Drosophila melanogaster: one gene and its partner. The protein of the gene in region 1 purifies or fractionates together with the protein of each later gene. This does not show direct contact. Each region holds a gene or a part of one and is shown in the gene's direction. Other genes may lie near its edges.

Evidence for each region.
Region 2: the proteins of mesh (region 1) and Ssk purify together in Drosophila melanogaster (affinity purification with western blotting; one study listed by BioGRID). This does not show direct contact.

What each region holds. Positions count from the first base shown.
Region 1 is NT_033777.3:31,193,972-31,197,901, reverse strand, and holds the start of mesh (mesh), read left to right. Parts: upstream 1-2,139; 5' UTR 2,140-2,185; intron 2,186-2,392; 5' UTR 2,393-2,447; coding exon 2,448-2,844; intron 2,845-3,512; exon of another isoform or gene 3,513-3,605; coding exon of another isoform or gene 3,606-3,930. Other genes in the region: CG1544 (uncharacterized protein), read right to left, coding at 767-890; bnk (bottleneck), read right to left, coding at 3,606-3,930.
Region 2 is NT_037436.4:20,186,875-20,190,483, forward strand, and holds Ssk (snakeskin), read left to right. Parts: upstream 1-1,647; 5' UTR 1,648-1,837; coding exon 1,838-1,888; intron 1,889-2,117; coding exon 2,118-2,314; intron 2,315-2,445; coding exon 2,446-2,686; 3' UTR 2,687-2,905; downstream 2,906-3,609. UniProt on the Drosophila melanogaster protein: Required for assembly of smooth septate junctions (sSJs), together with mesh and Tsp2A. May be important for barrier function of the midgut epithelium.

The sequences.
Region 1 (3,930 bases):
CTTTTTGGACTCCCTGCCGTGCGTTTTGGGAAAAGATATAGTATCTCTGCACTGGACATCCGCCTCTCTTCACTTAATTAGTGCACTGCACGGGGGGTCTGCCACAATCTCCTCATTCTAATTATAAATTCGGGGTACTGGGTGTAGCGCCATATATTTCGGGTTTATCAGATTTCAGAGTGAAAACATGTGATAAGCTGAGAACGTGGAGATTAGCTTGGGTAGGTAACAGGAAAGACGGTAACATTAAAACCATAAAAAATATTCCACCAGTCAACAGGAGCTGTTCTTTCTCGATAGTATGAGAGGCATAAACAATGAACTTCAATTTAAAAAATATTTTGCGAAATTAAGTTAAACCTGAAGTTAGTGAAAATAATCCTAGGTATCCATACGTATTCCCGTATATACCCTCCGATTACAGGGTATACAAATGATATATCTTCTTTAAACTGGTTTTCGAATTCACCCACAGCAATTTGCACTTGATCTCTTGTTCAGGCTGTTGTTTTATTGCAGTTTCTGCGGGGATTGTTGTGGGTCAGCTGCTTGAATTCCGCTGATAAATAGCCGGCTGGAAAATCCGACACGAACGCACACACACGCACACAATGTCACTTCGTCGGTTTTTCTTTTTGCTTGGGTAGATTTCCACTGCCCATTCATATGAATGTTTGATCCCGAAAGACTCTTATCGATGCGATGGTTATCTCGACGGATGAGGTTTTTATTGAAGTCTTGGCAACACACTTGTTTACAACCGTACCTTGAAATTCACGCTGGGCAATCGGCTTATAGCCCCAAACGCCCTTTTCGCTGTGATAGCACCGCGATTGTGGGCGTGGCAGTTTTGCGATTCCCGCCTCCGAAAGCGCCAGATAACGCAGCATGCTGATGGATTAAAAACGAGGCGTGTATGCCGGATCACCTGATAAGTTCGCAGCGAAATCGCGGTCTCTTCTCGCCGCCGTTCGACCCAGAACTAAGGGCAATTCACTTTTGTTTGAAGCCGGGACCCCCATATTCCAAATAAACTAAATTGCTGATAAGCTGGGAAATAAACCGGGAGAGAACAAATCCCTCCGAAAAGTAGTGCCTACTTTTGGGCTGGTGGTGTGATATGATCGCTGTTAATTAACAGAGCGCTTGTTAAACACATGTATGAGATGATAATGAATTTCAAAATAGTTTCTTATCAGTTAACTAAAGCTGATAATGCAACAGGTTCGTTGGCCAATAATGGATTGCCTTTGAGAGAGGGAAGAGTTGTATCCATTAAATTAGTCATACATATGCTCAGGAATATATTGAAATGAACTGTACCATAGTTAAAAACATTTTTATATTTATATATATATTTTATACATAATTATGCTGTCGTTTGTTTAAAAGATATATGGGGTACATTTTCAACACCAATTTTCCCCTAACAATAACCACTATAAAAATATATCTTATCCTTCGATTTTTATTATAGCAATGTTTATCTGCATTATTGTTTTATAATACCCTTTTAGTCACACAAGTTGATCCTCAAAACGCTTTGATTTTATTAATTTGGAGTTCCCCACTCTGCACTTGATTTCTTCATTAATGAGGACCATGACACTTTCATGTCCTAATGAAATCCATCAGTAGGCTTTTTTACGGGCGGCTGATATTCATAACTCTAAAGCTTCATCGGAAATGCCTATTAATGGTCGGTAATGGGTCATTGTCTATAATTAAACCGGAAGCGTGCTCTCATCAATTTCGCATCACACACATACATGTTTAGGCTTTACAGCCCATTCAGCTTTTCACAAAATGGCCGCGTCATGAGTATGATTAACTGTAATGGAAGTGAATCACAAATCTGCCAGAGACCATTGTCAACAGAGAGAAATATAGGTAACGGTCCCACGAATGGGCATAAACAAATAGGTTGGTAAATTTGGAGCACAGAGAAGAGAGTGAAGCTTCCCGAAAAAGCCAAGCGGGCCGAAGAAGGAATGCGTTATCGGTGCGTAGTATTCCATTGATAAGATATGCCTAGCTTTATCTGGCCGATAAGGCAATGTTTCACAATCGAGTAGACGGCGACAGGTGAACTGAGTTTTGGCAACGCCCCGATCGGGCCGTTAGAGTTAACTTAACTTCAGTCTTAGCTGAGCGGCTCGCTGCAACGAACGTGTTTTCCTGCCTGGTAATTAAAGTTAAAATTGAAAATTGGTGACAAGTGATAAGAGAACTGATAAGCCATTGCCTTAACTGATGATGTCATCAAGTGAAAATTGTTAGAAAATGAGGATATCAGAGGAAAAATAGTGTACAAATTCGCATGAATTGAGTGCTTATTGAGTGATACTTTTATTGTGGATGCCTAATTGATGCCTTTGTGTTTTTCTTTTAGCAGTGAAACGAAAAAACGAATTACCAATTAAGTGACAAATCGAAATCAAGTGAACATGCGTTTCAAACTGTTTGTGGTTTGTGCGCTGGCCTGCGGGTTTATGGCCTTTGTCCTGGCTAACGAGAATATATCGACGGAGGAGTTCGAGGATCAAATAATCAATGCAGTTCCGGAGCCGGTCAAGGTGACTAAGCCCAAAGCTCAGGCGGAATTCGTTGAGGTTCCAAAGGCCACGCCCGCTCCCAAAAAAGCGGAAGCGGACAACCCGAAAACCAAACCACTGGCCCTGCAGAAGCCCACTCTGATTCCCGTGGTGCATGTCAGCAGTCGGGGAACAGATGATATCCTCACCGTCGCGGGACTGAAGCCCGAGAAAATGTTCGGAGCCCTCATCATGCCAAATGACTATTTGGGGGAGCTGTACGACGTGGACAACAGCGGCTACAATTGGGGTGAGTAGGTTTCGTTGTCCCTGGGCTGATTCAGTTCCACCCCATTACTCATACGCCGCGTTGACTATCTTATCAGAACAGCTCAGTGGGTTTCAGTTTGGTTTAGTTACCAATATTTGCTCGATAACCTGTGTTCGGGCATTCAGGTGTAGGTGCTGTAAGCCCCTCTCTCTCTCTCTCTCTCTCTCTCGCTCTGTGTTCTTCCCGATAAGATAATGCCCCAGGTTGAGGCATTAAAAAGCTAACGGTTTCTTGTTTTCCGCTTCGGCAAACAAAACAGGTGCGTGGTGGCATAGTGAATATACGCATATGTATGCACACGAATATAGGTGTGGACACGGCGGACAGCGGGAGCACGGAGTCTTGCGTGATTCAGTTTACAACCTGTGGTAGTGTGTGGATTTAGCAATTCTGTTTTATCAGTCCCCTAGAACTGATATATTGGCTATTCGGAATTGGAATTTTTGCCGTATTAGTCACAGTCATTTGTTAGAATGTAACTGTGTAATAAAAAAGGGTTTGGTCAGAAATAGAATATCGAAATATATATGTGGAATTACTCACCGATTGCAAAGGAGTAATGGTTTAAAAATATTGTAATATTTGTAATGCCTCACTTGCCAAGAACAAGACGCTTACATTTTGTTTCATATATATATTTATATTTTATCTTATATTTGAACTGTCTTTAGAAGCTTAGGCTAACTTATAACTAAAGTAAGGCAATCCTTTGGAACTTACAATTAACCTAGTTTCTGGACCTAAGCACTCATCGAGATGCGCTGCTCGTACTCCGCGATGCGCAATCTCACGGGAACCACTAGACTGAGGTCCTCCATGATGGCGTGGTTCTGGGTTCGTACTGAGGCACTGGAACTCTGGCGGGAGATGGTGGCCCTCGACTTGTCCATCGAAGGCTTGCGGCGCAGGGAGCACTTGCGCTGGCTGCCCCCCTTGCCCACGCCCATGGCTGGTACATGGGGAGTGGCAAACTGGGCGGTGGTGGCCGACAGTCTCTTGGGCTTGGGTGGTGGCACTTGTCCGGTCACGGAACCACTGAGACTGTGGTCGCTGCCCAGGAAACTG
Region 2 (3,609 bases), on another chromosome or scaffold:
AAATTTAACGTCGCTTGCTTTCTGGGACTCCACATGGGGATTTGAGAAGTGGGGAAGAATCCGCGGTGCTGAGCGGCATTCGCAATGGGGGAACGAAAACAAAGAACTCGACAACCTTTGGCCTTGATTTGGGAAGATATTCCTTTGCTTATCCAGGCATCAGACAACTTGCATTTAAAATGGAAAGCAGATCTATGTAAATAAATCAGTATCCATGTACCTTGCTCAAATTTAATTTTATTACCTTTAATTAAATAAATCTTATTCAATTACTTGTTTTCCCTAAGCAAATACTATTCTTAAGGCATTCAAGCACGTTTAATCACATTTTAAAAACTTGTATACAAAAGAGACAATTTCCGCTAAAACAACATATTTATTTTGAAAAGCTTAGGTTGGAAAGTTAGTTGTATGCTAAAATTAAATTTTCTGAAATGAAATCCAATAATACCCTCGGCACAGCGTAAATAATACTTGTTTATATATAGTACTCATGAATATCAGTGTGTATACTTGCTACTCAATGCGGGTCATAAAAAAAACCCTTGATGAGGTGTGATCTCATGTTTGTTCCATGTTCTGAACTTATGATTTATACAAGCACATTTTAATGTCGGCCTTAAATACAAAACACAGGGCACGAGGTGCCAAATGTGCAGTATAGTTAATTTCCCACGCCCTCCAAACTTATGCAATTATTCATTTGTCCAAAAACCATATGCATCCATTTTCAATTAGTTTTTAAACATTGAATTTAGAAACAAGGGACTGTAACTATTTCTAACTAAGTTCTTTCTTTTCTTCGTGACCTGAAAATTGTTTGCTTTTCATGTTACACAGTGTTCTTAAAACGCACCATTCATCCAAGAGTTGTATTTTTATACACCATTTTACTGTGATAAATAGGCAATATGTAAATCGAGGAACCCCACATCAACCGCAAGTTGCTTTTTTGCTCCCCAATTGCTCCTATCATTTTGCATTGTGCTCTTCCAATTGATTCGAAATCTCGAACATGGGCCACCTACAGCCACGATTATTGTGCTAGGGTTGTGATAATTGAAATGCAGATTAGGTTCCAGTGACTTTTTGTGTGTCTGAGACTTTTTAATCAGTAGCTGGAATCCACTGGGCTATCGATCATCGGAATCGTGACAAGGTCAGTGAATTTTTAATCTGTTCGAGGGATGCACCACCGGGAGCTTTATCAGTGGGAATGGGAATGGGTCACCACGAAAGTATTTCAGAAATACATCGATGACGCAAGAATAATTGTTTCCGGTCTCTCAGAGCCGCGGGTATGTTTCCCCGTTTTGTGGCTTTGTGGCCGCCATGAATAATGTGTAACAATGCTGTGGAAAGCGGCAAATCGGAGCACCTGATATATCGCGATGTAAGGCGACAGAGCTGCGATAAGGCCGTTTTGATAAGATACGCGGGTGGGGCTGGCGCATGCGCATCTGGGTTTCATTGGGCTTCGGAGCCTGAACATGTTGAACCGTCAACGAATTAGTAACCCATTTCGAACGGCACCTGTTATCGTGAGCCCTATCTTATCTTATCGCTGACCGTGTATGCTCTGATTGCAAAAGCTACAAATTCTTGGCGACACGACGAACTGGGCGCGACAGGTTGGTTGGTTGCCTTTCAGTGATATTTTTCAGTTTAGTCGACGAACGACAACGATACGAAAACGAATCATTTCGCTGTAGTTTCCGCGTGAAAATTACAGAAAAGATTGTGAGTGCCCCTTGACTGGGAGAAACCCCTCTGTGAACTAAAGCATTTGCCCAAATTCCAGCTCAGCGATAAGAGCAATCAGCATATCTAGTGCGAAATGGTGTCCGTGGAGACTGTAGGCTCTATTTTCATCAAGGCCCTGAAGCTGGTAAGTTTTGGGCTTCTTTGGTCCCTTCCTATTGAGCAATAGCCTGTTTGTGGTCGCAATAACTCGGCTGATAGATAAGCGCGCGTTTTATCAGTCCTGGCGTATTAGCAATGTTACTCATACGCCGAGTTGTACGGCAAGGCGAGGCGTGGCCAAGAAGTGATTCATTCATTCCCATTCCCAATTGTGACCTCATTTAATTGCTCTCCTGTGCGCTCCTTTTTCGCAGATCATCAATCTGGTGATCATCTTCTTGTACCGTTGGGGCGATGGTGGCGAATTCCTGGGCATCGGCGGCACGTGGAACTTAAACGAGGAGAAGAGCGCCGATGCGGAAATCGTAGCCTCAGGCGTCATGGTTGGATTCTTGATTTACACTGGATGCCACACCATTGCCTTTGCCTTCGGCACAACCAAACATAAGGGGTATGTTGAATGCCGATATTGATTATAGCTGAACTTTGACCCGCATCTTATTCCTTTTCTTGTATTTTCCGCCCTTAATTCCACACTCTCAACTCACAACTGTTTGTTTTCAATGGCTTTCCGTTTTTCAGAGAGCTGTGCGACACCATCATGAACGTGGTTGGCTGCATCATGTGGATCGCCGTGGGCGGAGTGGCACTCCACTACTGGAAGGGTTACATGTCCGACGAGGGATTCCTGTATGTGAACTCGGAGCGTCAAGTGGGCATTGCCATGGGCTCGCTGTGCGTTATCGAGGGCGCACTGTACCTGCTGGACACCGTGTTGGCTTGCATACACTATTCGAAGGGCGACACCGACTACACGCAGTAGAAACTGAATAGTGGGGATACCAATCGCAGCCGCCGAATAAACACCATCCACATTTGTCTTTATACATAGATCGATTTAAGTGCAAATTAGTTATTATCCGCAATCAATTATCAACTATACGTTCGTAAGGGTCAATTGTCGCTGTACTATACACTAACTGTTTACAATTTTCATTCACGTTTAACATCCTTAAATTGGCAAATACAAATAGTTAAGACCACGCCACGGATAAAAGTTTTTGTGCATTTGGGAACTAATTAAGGGGATGCAATGGAATGCCACTTACTAGTAAGTATCAATTGTAACCTAAATCAACTAATTACCATCAGAACCCATTGATCGTGTTGCTCAGTTTCTTTTTTTCTGATATCATTGCAATTAATGAAAGATTATTTATATATATCATACATCATACGTAAGCATTTTGCTAATTTTTGTCAAAAAACGACAACTTAGATTTGTTGACTAAACTTTTCGACTTTAAACTAACACCCAATCGAAATTTCATATTCCAAGCGATCTGATACTGATATATTGTAATTGGTGAGATATTTCATTTGTTTTTAGTACTAGTACTAGAGAACCTATTGCTCTCCAAGAACCTAATATTCTTTTAAAGAACTTGATGGAAAACTAAACTAATTGTTTAGGAACTGATGCACACAGGAAAAATGTCAGACGATTCGCAGAATTTGGTATATATCACTCATTTCTTTGCTGAGAACAGAGTTCATGAGTTGTTCAACCAAATCGATGACGCTTCAAGACGAACCTCCTCTGGAACCATGAAACTGCAACTTCCGGTGCAAATCGAAAGCGTTCAACGAAGCATTGATAAATCGGAATAAAGCCCTATATTTATCGGTCAGCTATACGCAGAAGTCTTTATGGCAATGAGTCAAAGATTAAACGGTACAGTCAAA